Bombyx mori: one gene and its partners. The protein of the gene in region 1 interacts with the protein of each later gene in a pairwise test. Links are inferred from orthologs where the notes say so. Each region holds a gene or a part of one and is shown in the gene's direction. Other genes may lie near its edges.

What was found.
Region 2: the proteins of TRAF3 (region 1) and CBP80/20-dependent translation initiation factor interact in a two-hybrid assay, tested with the Drosophila melanogaster proteins (2 studies listed by BioGRID). The link is inferred for Bombyx mori from reciprocal best matches to the Drosophila melanogaster genes Traf-like and CG13124.
Region 3: the proteins of TRAF3 (region 1) and E3 ubiquitin-protein ligase TRAIP interact in a two-hybrid assay, tested with the Drosophila melanogaster proteins (2 studies listed by BioGRID). The link is inferred for Bombyx mori from reciprocal best matches to the Drosophila melanogaster genes Traf-like and nopo.

Annotation. Positions count from the first base shown.
Region 1 is NC_085120.1:2,140,803-2,144,970, reverse strand, and holds the start of TRAF3, read left to right. Parts: upstream 1-1,368; coding exon 1,369-1,482; intron 1,483-4,168.
Region 2 is NC_085114.1:13,969,760-13,974,026, forward strand, and holds the start of CBP80/20-dependent translation initiation factor, read left to right. Parts: upstream 1-1,467; 5' UTR 1,468-2,170; intron 2,171-4,267.
Region 3 is NC_085113.1:1,838,563-1,842,505, forward strand, and holds the start of E3 ubiquitin-protein ligase TRAIP, read left to right. Parts: upstream 1-1,143; 5' UTR 1,144-1,390; intron 1,391-1,497; 5' UTR 1,498-1,559; coding exon 1,560-1,672; intron 1,673-2,260; coding exon 2,261-2,476; intron 2,477-3,170; coding exon 3,171-3,329; intron 3,330-3,943.

The DNA of each region.
Region 1 (4,168 bases):
AGCAAGCTGTCAAAGAAATGTTCGAGTTGCATAACCGATATTTAATATTAGCTGTGTTCAAATCGCTAATGTATGCAAATATATCAGATGACCTTTAAATTTTAAATAGTCGAAATATATTGTTGGAATATTATTATTGCAACTGACATAGAGATTCAGATGAGCTAAAATGCCCATCACTCTGTTTTAGTAATCGGGTTAGATTGAAAGACGAGCACGCCGTTCTACTGATGTTAAGTGGTCACAAGTGCTCGTATAAATCGTTTCGTCACACACTTTGGAAACGAGAGTCTGTCAAGCAAAATCCCATTTTTTTATTTTTTTTTATTTCCCTTGTAGGCAGACGAGCATACGGCCCACCTGATGGTGAGTGGTTACCGTCGCTCATGGACTTCAGCAACGCCAGGGGCAGAGCCAAGCCGCTGCCTACCGCTTAATACTCTCCACAAGCCTCGTTTGAAGAAGGATATGTCATAGCGCTCGGGAAACACCGTGGAGGGGAGCTCATTCCATAGCCGGATGGTACGTGGCAAAAAAGACCTCTGGAAACGCACTATGGATGACCGCAGTGGCTCCACGTAGTATGGATGAACTCTACTCCGGTGTCGGGCGGCGCGATGGTGAAAACGAGATGCCGGTATCATCTCGAACAATTCCTCAGAGCACTCGGCGCAAGATATTCTAAATTATGTCTTCACTGGCTAATCCCGCAAAAAATTAGGTTCACCTTGACCCATTTGAAGCGAAAATACTAGATTCACAATTGATACGGAGTATTTACGTATCTGTTATCACGAAAACGCCCAGTATCAGCTTACGGTATAGATAACAACCGTGAATCATTTTGTAACAAAGGATATAACGGTGTTGACATGTTTCTGTGAAAATATCTTTAAATAGTTTAATAAATTCGTTATTGTTTCGCTATTGATGGTCTTATTGAGGACAACGTTAAATCTTCGGTTACGGATAACGCGCGTCTTATTTTAAGTGTGATAGTTAATCGAAATATGGAGGAATTGAGAATATATTGAGAATATCTCTTGAGAATATACACGCCTTTATGGTATTAAAAAATCAATGATCGGTGCCCACTTAAAACACTGCAGACCGTGAGTTCGTTCAGATACTGCAACAAAGAGTATACTGTCAATTAAATTCTCATCTAAATTAGTGAAACCATTGCGTCGTATCCTTTATTTATTGAATCCAAGCTCTCAAGTTCACCCGATGTTAAGTGCATTTAGTGAAAAGCCTGGTGAAGGATAATTCTACTAAAAAAATTACGATTTTTTTTTATTAAAAAACCCGTACACAGTTGTTTTATGATGAGTGTTTGAATACATTATTCAGGAGAACTATGCGAAAATGAGTTTAAATAGGATTATCGCAAATGGAGTCGGCGCGTCGGGAAATAAGAAGAATCCTAACGAAAGTCCCTGCTACTTCTGTAATGAACTCTTCGAAATGGGTCAGCTGCAGGTAAATATAATTAACTATTGTTATAAACCGTAATGTAATATATTTAATTAAGTTATCAAAGCAATTTAATAAAGTTTATAAATTTAATAAATTGAATAAATTTAATTTATTTATTTACTGACCCGGCAGACTTCGTAGTGCCTCAATCGATAAATAAAATACCTAAACTTTTGTATAAAATAAACTTAAAACTTTTGTTTAAAAGCAATCCGTCCGACGGGGGACACATCAAAGGAAAAACCAAATTGTTATTTTTATTTAATTCCGATCATTTTCATATTTATCTACCTTTTAAACCTTCTCTGGACTTCCACAAATAATTCAAGACCAAAATCAGCCACATCAGTTCAGCCGTTCTCGAGTATTAGCGAGACTAACGAACAGCAATTCATTTTTATATATAGAGGTTAACTAGCTCTATTAGCCTATTCTCCTATTCCTATGGGATGGTATGGACATGTGATGAGACAAAATAAAAATGAGGTTAGTAAGAGAGTGTTAACTATGAATGTGGAAGGATATAGAGGAAGAGGTAGACCTAAGAAGAAATGGATGGATTGCCTGAAAGACGATATGGGTAAGAGGGGAGTGAGCGAAGAAATGGTATATGATAGAAGAGTATGGAAGGAGAAAACATGTTGCGCCGACCACAGGTAACTGAGAGAAGGGCAGGATGATGAATGATGATTAGCCTATTCTCATATTGGATGCAGATATTGCAGCCGAAAACGTAGTACGTATTGCGTATTAAAAACGAAAATAAATATCGTCTTTTTCCGTAAGACTAGTTTTTATTTATGCCAACAACTCGCTAAAACTGATGAAAATACTATAGTAATTTTCTATTTCGGTTATGTTAATGTTATGTGATATCTAGATATACCAGTACTGGCATTTAACCCTCAGACACAGCCCACTGAGTTTCTCGCCGGATCTTATCAGTGGGTCGCGTTTCCGATCCGGTGGTAGATTCTGCGAAGCACGGCTCTTGCTAGGGTTCGTGTTAGCAACGTCGTCAGGCTTGAGCCCCGTGAGCTTACCTACTAGTTAAGGTTACGCTGAAATAGCCTTTCGAGGCTCTCAGCTTAGGTAGGAAAAAAAAACTGCCACCTGTCTCGTTTTCAGGATCGAGCTCACACTCAGCTTATCAAGACAATAAGTAAAATGCGTGGAATGAATTCATTATAAGTCAATATCAGTTGTTGTTGTCGATAGCGCTCCGTTGTATCGATTGATAACAGAACGTTGCGAAATGTTATCTTTCATCGAAGGACGGATTGCGCGTGTGCTCGATGATGGGTAGGGCCGTTCGCTTAGCTATGATCATGGGCTCCTATACTTAACAACGCGTTAAGTATAAGTATGGGTTTAGAGGTCAAGTTCCCAACTTAGCACGTGTAAATAAAAATATTAGCATAGTTTTGTAACGTAATGTTTATTTATTTATTGGTTAGATGGGTGGACGAGCTGACGGGCGATCTGGTGTTAAGTGATTACCGGAGCCCAGAGGCATCTACAACGTAAATGCGCCACCCATCTTGAGACATGAGTTCTAAGGTCTCAGTTCAGTACAATGTTTTAAAGTCTAAAAAAAAAACTGTCAGGATCACTTGTATCAGCAATACCGACACCGTAAAAGGCGTCGATGGTGACATTTAGAGTTGTGGTCTTCTCCGGGAAACGTATTGTGTGGGTTCAGAGTACGTATTGAGCAGGAAACAATTTACTCTGATAACTATACTTTAGTAGCGGACCCGACAGACGTTGTCCTGTGAATTCATACGAAAAATACACTCTCAAGTCGATCCAGCCGTTTAGTTGCAGTATAGATAAATATTATAGATACCGACTGCAGCGCCATCTGTCGGGCTAATTTGTGAATCTTAACCATCCACGGCGCTACCCAAACGCATACAAAAACAATTCATTCAAATCGGACCAGCCGCTTAGGAGGAGTTCAGTGACATAATATGTCAATATGTACAGTAGAATTATACATAGGTATTGTTACGCGCGTAAATTAAAACTGTATTCAACACATAAAACACTACACAAACACTTTAAAATTCTCAGTTCGCTTTTTCCTCTTCGCTTCAGGTGATCCGTTCGCAGTTTCGCTTCGAGTAGTTCCAATTACTAACTGACTGCGTGCCATCTCTACAACGCTTTTATAGCCGATATCATATCCCTAGAATTATCGAGAATATTCCACACATTTCGAGTATTGTGTTTTTCCGATATCTGACAATAGATGGCGTTGTACTCCGCGAGCGTTCTAGGTGTTACTAGATCCTTCGATATTCGTTCCGCTATTCGGCGATAGATGGCGTTACTCTTACCGGCGTAACAATATAAAGATTTGGCGATTAAAGTATAAAACGAGTTCTAAATAGTTCTGGGCTAGCGTTTCGTGCGATAACTCATTGAGAAGTCTCCTCGATCGATCGAATTAAGAATCTCTTACATTCAGCTCGGACGTACACCAGCCGGGCTCTACCGAAGCGATAAAGTCACCGAAGGTTGCGCCTAGTTAACAATTCAGCGTCTATAGACATCTCTGATACATATAAAAAGCCTTGACAGTAATCTTTGTAAAGAGCTAAGGTAGATTAATTGCATCAGCAGGGTAGCATTTTTGTCAATCAAGCTTAAGTGTTTTATTTTTTGAGATCAGTGGGATTAGATG
Region 2 (4,267 bases), on another chromosome or scaffold:
ACCACAAAAATTATAAATGGAATCTTAAAAACTACCATAAAAATTATAAACCCGTGAGGATCAATGTTTAATAAAGAACGTTTATTAAATGTAACCAATTTTTGTTAATTATTTATATTTTTTCTTTTATAAGTAGGCCATTTTTAGTTCTTTTTTTTTAGTTTAGTAACATTCCTCATTTGAATAGATTATATTGTATTTTATACGAAAAACTTGTGTAGTAGTTTCGTGACCGCAATAAACTATTATTTTCTACTTTGTTTTCTTTTTAAATCTCATTCCGTAGTTAATTATCCATGTTTTTTTATTTAATTATTAGCGTAATTATGGACAAGGCTAGAACACGGAATTGATGTTGAGACAGTCCACTAAGGTATTCCGTGAAGCATACAAGAATTCCGGAATTACTGCTCACCTGCTTTTAATTGGTTACCGGAGTAGATCACGGAACCTCTCACCTTGAAATATGCAGTCGAAGTCCATATATAAGGATCATCCCATCTTCCAACCCAGAAGACATGGCGGCTAACGCGTGTCGTCGCATCGTACAATAAATAGGCAAGAATGAAGAACATAGGTAGCTGTAACCACAATCATGTGTGTAAATAATAAAGAAAATTGCGTTTGAAAAGTCGAAAAACATGACCCCGTTATCAGATCCGTCATCAAATGTCAAAAAGTGTGCGGAACTCGTTAAACCAAACAAAAGGATCTCGCAGTTGAAGAATTACAATATCCACCTGCTCGATTCATCATTAAACCCCCCTCTAAGAGTGCCTAATTAATGTACATTTATTGTATTGTTTTTTTTCTTTTTCTTTTTTCTATTCGCTGTTAGCCTAGTTCCAGTTACGCCCGGACGGGATCGTGTATACATAGTGTATTGTACATATAATTGTACTTGTCACTTGTTATGCCTACGAAATGAGTCCGAATCCCTAGGAGTATACAAGGAGCCAAGGCTCCACCTTTGCGTGGTCGTATCAGGCTTTAGTAATAAAATTGAACTGCTATAAAAATTGTGACGCTTGTAACTTAACCTAAATGGCTAATCTCGGAGGGATAATGCCTGACAAAGAGTAAAAGGCTGAGACAATGCAGTAAGTATTGTGTAATTGCGATTCGTTCGAACGTGATCTTTAGTAATATCCAAAACTATTGATGGAAGATCCTTCGAACTACTTATCTGGCAACAGAAACATGCAGGATATTATGACCAACAAGAGATCTTTATTGAATTAACCTTCGCGAACAAATATTGTATAAAATTATAGGTTTCCTTTCACTAACGTGACTGCCTTCGTCTACGATGTGGGTGGATGTTGGATTAACACGTCCTTAACACTTGTCAGGAATTTGAGGCTGTTCAAACTAGTGTTGCCAATGCGAATTACGTCATGTAGGTATTGCTATTCTATTGAGTGGGCAATGCAACTTCGGCACGGTTAAAACATTGATGAATGCTATTTATTCTTTCACTGTCTTATGTTATTGCAATTCTGGTTTAGTTTTATCTGTAACACGTAGAAAATTTCGAGCGCGCAGTCTTGTTTAAAGCAATAATATTTCAGCACAGCTCAAACGCCAAAAATATACACTGCACTCGAATTTTAAAGGCAAATAAATGTGAACGTGAAAGTACTTTAGCTTTACCAGTTTTACAAAAAAGAAACTACTACTTATAACATCAGTGCTAGTCTGCTACTCTTCGGACAATGGTTACCAAAGCGGCACTATGTAGAGCGAACAAACATTGATTCAATGCTTGAGTAGTTCAGCGACTGCGTTAGCGTCGTTTTCCAACTACGCTCTGTGTGTTGCACTCGTTATCCAACCACAGCACAGTCTCGACACTGAGATACTTTGCAATCTTAAAATGATCTACACGTGTTAATGTTGTCGTAGGAAATACAGTTTTAAATGAACTACACGATTGATGGCTTAAACTAAGGTTTATAGTTTAAAGAAGGACACTGTGATAATGAGAGTTTTAACTCGGAGACGGTTAATGTGAGCGCGCGTCGCTTCGTCAGTCGGCAAACCGCCCGGGCGGGCGCCACACGACCGGAATCTGCGCGAGCGACGAGCGGTGCCAACGAATATAAATTTCAGTGAAATAAAACACGCATCCGCGTACCGCTGTAACGTAAAATGCGAGCGCAAGATTCTGGTGAGTATTACCCATCAGCTAATTTATCTTAATCACCGTAAATGCGACGCACTGAAAATTATATATCCGAAACACCTAAATATAGTTACTGTATTTTCGGATGCTGCAACGTCTCTAATTCACGCCGCGCTTGCTGGTTTCACGTGAAAATGTCTATGTTTTGACACGCGATGACTCAAATACACGAACGCGGATGAGAGCCGAAATGCTCTAAGCTGTGAAATGAAAGTGCACGTTGCACATTATGCCGCCGTTTAAGGCACGAAGCGAAATTTTCTAACAGATAATTAGTTGGCGCGATAAAAAATAGATTTCTTGTACTGCATACCGGAGCTCCCAACGGGCCAGTGGCGGCGGTGTCCTACATACCATTATTCCGCACCAAAGATCAATGCCTGGCTACAGTGGGTAATAATCATAATCGTAATGTATTATTTGAATATCGGCAAGTAAAAAAAATCTACATCTATTCGAGAGATTTCATTATTTTAACCGCTAAAGTACTATACAAAATTTTAACACAACAATAATTTCATTGAAAGATAGAAAGACCGCACCCGCGCTATATTTAGTGTACAACTACAAACTTATAAAAACAAAAATCGTAAATTGTATTTTTAACATCTTCCGCCCGCGGACGCTAACAAACATCCTTCAGTTATTTACTCGTGTTAAATATTGAACTGCTGTTGATTGTAACCTAGTGAACTGACATTATAATTGGAATAATTTATCCAATAGAAGGCCGGCATTGAAATTACTTTACATTTTAGTTATTTGTTGCTGTACATACATATTATTTCCTCCATTTTATTTGAAAGTATATTAAATTGGTTCATTTGCACTCTTAAGCATTTTTGACTCTATTATTCATCGCAAGCTCTGAATCCGAAATGACTCAAATACGTTATTGTATCGCGATTGGTCTAATCTGATTAAATAAAACTCAAAACAAATTTCAAGATATGTAGCAACATTTTAGGACGCTTAATTTTAGTTAACGACGGGGCAACCAAAAAGGCTTATCTTAATAAATATAATTCTTCTGTGAGTTAAAGGGCTGGACCGATTTTGATTAAAAAAAAGTTGGTGTGTTCAAGTCGAGAATAGTTGAGATTCACATTTCGCTCCACTGGAAAATGTTTTATCAATTATTATTTTTATAAAAACTTTCGGATTTGAGACGTGTACAGGACAACGTCTGTAGGGTTCGTTCGTGCATACATATGTATACAGGGTATCCCAGAAAGAATGGATAATCCTGGTGGATGGAGCTATTCGGGACACAAAAAATAAAAAAACGAATCTCAGGTACCCAACCAACCTCTCCAAATTACGTATTTTAAAAAAAAGTTGATATTTTCCATACTGCTGGGCGTTTCTGGAATATACAACAGTTACAAATAAATGAAATCCATAGGCTTTTTGGTGTTATCATATTCTACATGGACTATACTAAGGAATATGCACGAAATTGTATGAGTAGCTAGTGTAATTTTTTATAAAAGCTAATCCGAACTTAAATTTTAATCATGAAATTGGGTATTTTTTCTTTATTTTTAATTTGGGTACTACCTAAGAAATATTTTTTTATTTTTTATTTTGAGTCCCCAATAGCTCTACTATGAGGTGTTTCAGGATTATCCATTCTTTCTGGGACACCCTGTGTATGTAATAGCTAAATGAGGATCTTCAATTGAGTGGACAATTTTGTTCGGAAACTTTTTTTTTTATTGCCTTTGTAGGCAGACGAGCATACGGCCTACCTGATGGTGAGTGGTTACCGTCGCCCATGGACTTCAGCAATGCCAGGGGCAGAGCCAAGCCGCTGCCTACCGCGAAGACTAATTGTCCCTATACTTATAGTTTTTCGACATTCTTGATTGCATGATTTTCTTTTAAATTATTGTTGTGTAATTGCGATTCAAATTTTTTTCCTATTCACGGTACAGTATAATGTTAAAATAACGACCTTTTTATTTATTTTTAAAACTAGCGACCCGCCCTCGCTTCGCTTCGGAAAGATTAAAACACACATAAAACCAAAAAAAAAAAAAATTTTTAAAAAAGTAGCCTATGTTCATCAGGGACAATATC
Region 3 (3,943 bases), on another chromosome or scaffold:
CAGTAGACTAATTTCAAGTTGTAAAACTTGAAAAAAAAACCTATTTTAACGAATCTAGCTGTAGGATTGAAATAATTTTAATAGACCTAGAAATGTATACTATTTTTTGCGCATCGAATATGGTTATTGCCTATCATTTATGTATAAAGCAGTTATTCTCGCTTAGTCACGTTTGCCTTTCAAGCGTCGACATGGTTGTGAAAAAAGTTAAACGAGAAAAAAAAATTGTACCGATTATTTATGAAGCGACGAACGAAATTTTAACAAAACTTAAATTTTGTTAAATTATCACTGGTCGCTGGATTTTACGGACGCGAATACACCGAGAATCCTATTCTATATTTTGTAATTTAATATTACCAGCGATGGACAATATTAATCAAACTTACATTTTTTTTTTTATTGGCTTTATAGGCAGACGGGTATACGGCCCACCTGATGGTGAGTGGTTACCGTCGCCCATGGACTTCAGCAATGCCAGGGACAGAGCCAAGCCGCTGCCCTACGCCTGTCGTAGCGCCATTCTGGAGGATTTTTGAACTGTTATTTAGTGCTGAAAGTGGGACACTTTTGCATGTTTCTCCCATATGAGACGGTTCTCCTTACCTCTACCCTCCATAGACAATATGTAGTACATCTTAATGTTCGAACGATTTTTTGAGATGATTCCGTCATCTTGTTTTACCACCGCATCATCTAACGATTCATCTAGAACTACTATGCTCATTTTTTAATCAACATCATCACTGTACGTTTTTAGCTTTGAAATTAATTCCCTTCAATATTTCCTGAATTTTTCCTTCCTCAGTATATTTCTTAAGTTTTGTTAAGTCATGACGTTCCGATTCAGAAGTTTTAAGGAGGGTTGTTAGCGGTAGGCCACCCTGCTGCCCTGTCGGTAGTGCTAGTGTTCTAGGTTGGTAGTGTTGGTGGTGCTGGTGTTCAAGAGAAATGGTAATCACTTATCATCTAGAGCTTCTTCAGTTAAATATTAAACATATTGTATATGATCCTTTTAAGCTGAAAGGTGATTTAATTTACTTTTCACCCAAAAGACTTGGGTTCGGCTTACTCATATTTGTATGATCTTAGTTACCTTTGCCTATTCAATTTGGTAAAGCAACTAAAAAATCATTGGATCATAAATAATACCTACACTTCATTGGATGTCTGAATCTGAATGATAGAATTGTAATGTTTTGGAGATTTGATTTCGTTGTAGACACTTTCAGTTAATGAAATAAAAATGACATAAATTGATAATCAATATATACCACATACCTAATTCTGAGATGATTATGCAAAAATAAACTGATATAAGGTTTCATAGTACATACATAAAATTTATTGTATTCAATTCAACATATTTTGCCTAGAATTTGCGGGTAAGGTAAAACTAAATTCCGTTTTGAGAATTGCAGGGAATTATTAGAAAAAATACGAAGAATACCTAGTATGCTTTCTGTTTGTTTTTAAATACGTAATCTCCATTTATAGAAAAAGAAACCGTCTGTAAATCAAGCCAAACGAAATTTCATGTAAGAAATTGATTGCAGAAAATGCATATCCTCTGTACTATATGCAGCGACCTAATAAATCAATCTGAAAGTATATATGTGACAAAATGCGGTCACATATTTCATCATCACTGCCTTATACAGTGGATTGAAAGGTAATAAATAGTTTTAGCTGGAATGATTTAATAACGTGAATGATCTCTTCAACCCGTGTCCACACAATGCTGAGTGTAGATCTCTTCGAATGCACCTTATTCTTTTCGGTCTCTGGCCTTTCGCATCCAGTCCCTAGCAACCACCCTGACCAGGTCATCGGTCCACCTCGTTGGCTGTCTGCCCACGTTACGACGTCTAGTACGAGGTCTCCACTCCAGTATTATTGTGCCCCATTGGTTCTCAGTGCAACGGCATATGTGGCCAGCCCGCTTCCACTTTTTCTGAGAATTACCATTCATGTCTTCATGCACGGACATGAAACGTAATACTATGCAAAATGTGAGGGAATTTCAAACAATTCACTTTTTTAATATGTATTGTTAAAATAATATTGCTTTTGATGATTGGCTCTATTTGAAGAGAATTGTAATCGGCTAATATTGTATTATTAGCTTATACTGTTTTTGTTGATTACAAGCAATAGTATCTGGTAACTTTTCTGTGTAAGTGATTAATCTAGGTACATTAAAACCAAACCATCATATTAGCTATAAAATGTTGTTTGAGCCGTTTACCTTTTTTACCAGGTCAAAATCCTGCCCGCAATGCCGCAACAAAGTCACAGAGAAATGCATGTTCCGAATGTATCCTACAATATCAAATGATGTGACAAGCGGCGAAGACTCAGCTACTTTACAGTCTAGATTGGATGACACACAATTACAGCTCAGGCAACAAAAATCTGTGTGCAGAGATAAAGAGGACAAAATATCTGATTTAATAGGGGAGCTAAAAAAGAATGAGTAAGATATCTCTGTGTTTTGAACTCTGACAACTGATAGCTTTTCCCCATACAATCAACATCGTAGTTCAATGATTGTGTGATGTTAAGTTGTTACAAGAACCATTATACCCCAAGCTAAGATATTAATCTAAATTCCTCAGTCACTGATTTACAAAACATGAATAGCAGGAATAAGCATAGGCTTGTGTTACTAGTGGTCTAAAAAATATTGTAATGATTTTAGAGTATTTTTAAAAAGGTATTAATTATTGAAAAAAATTATTTCTATTTTAGTAACTTGAAAAATTTACAATAATGTAATATGTAAAAAGAGAAGCCCGTTAGGTTTTTGCCTGCTATACTTCTGAAGGTTGTGGCTCTTCTTGGCGTTCACTCTTGTTTTTTTCACTTCCAATAAGAAGTTTAAATTACTGATAAATTAATTTGATAATTTAAACAATCCAGAAAATTGAACTTTTGTAAAAAGGAGGACAGCAGCTGTCTGGTATAGTTTTGTTGCTTATGACTATCACCTAAGATCAAAAGCACTGTGAGCTAGCTTGTTTACATTTCAGATACCTAAATAGTGTTGCAACCTTCTTACCTTAATAATATGAAGTATAAAATGAGTTATCACACACACATATTGCAACTGATGATGATGTTTTAAAAATTAAATAAATTAATTTTCAATGAAACATAATATATTCTAGAGCTCTATTAAAATCATATGAAAAGAAGTTGGTAAGCAGAGATTCTGCAATGACTGCTATGAGAGAACAAATGGAGTACCTCAAAATTCAAAACAAAGAGACAGTCAAGTTAAAAGAGGAAAATGAAACAATGAAGCAGAATTTACAATTGTTAAATGGGTAAGTTAATTTTAATATTCAAAAAAGCAATGGTCCTCATCAAAAAAGTCCATAACATTACCCAATGTAGACTATGATAAAGCTACAATTCAGTCAAGACCCCGGCTGGGATGTAGTCTCTTTAATTTTGCTGAGTTAATTAGTGATACATGTGTATTGTATTAGAATGTTTTTAAGAAAATGCTAATGTGTCAAGCACATACAAGACGAATTTAATATTGAATGCCGGTGTAGTGCCCACTCAAGTAAAAACCTATACTCTCCTAGTTGTTGATGAGTATGTTTACCTGGGGCAAATCAGCTAATCTAACTGGGATGGGCAGCATTCAAGAAGCTTAGTGAAATAGTGTTCGGAAGCTTTGTGAAATAATGTTCGGGTAGCTCTGTAAAAGAGTGTTTGGGAAGCATCATAGTGAGGAGTTGTTGTTGACAATGAGCCTTATCAAAAGCTTAAAAGTCACTGAAAGAGCAATGCAGAGGGTAATGCACATATTTTTCCTGCAACATTGAATTGGGAATTGTAGTAATCTGATGTTAAAGTGTGCAATATGCATCTCACTTTACCTATCGCTCACAATATTATTCTGGATCAGAAGTACCTGCATCCTGGTGTT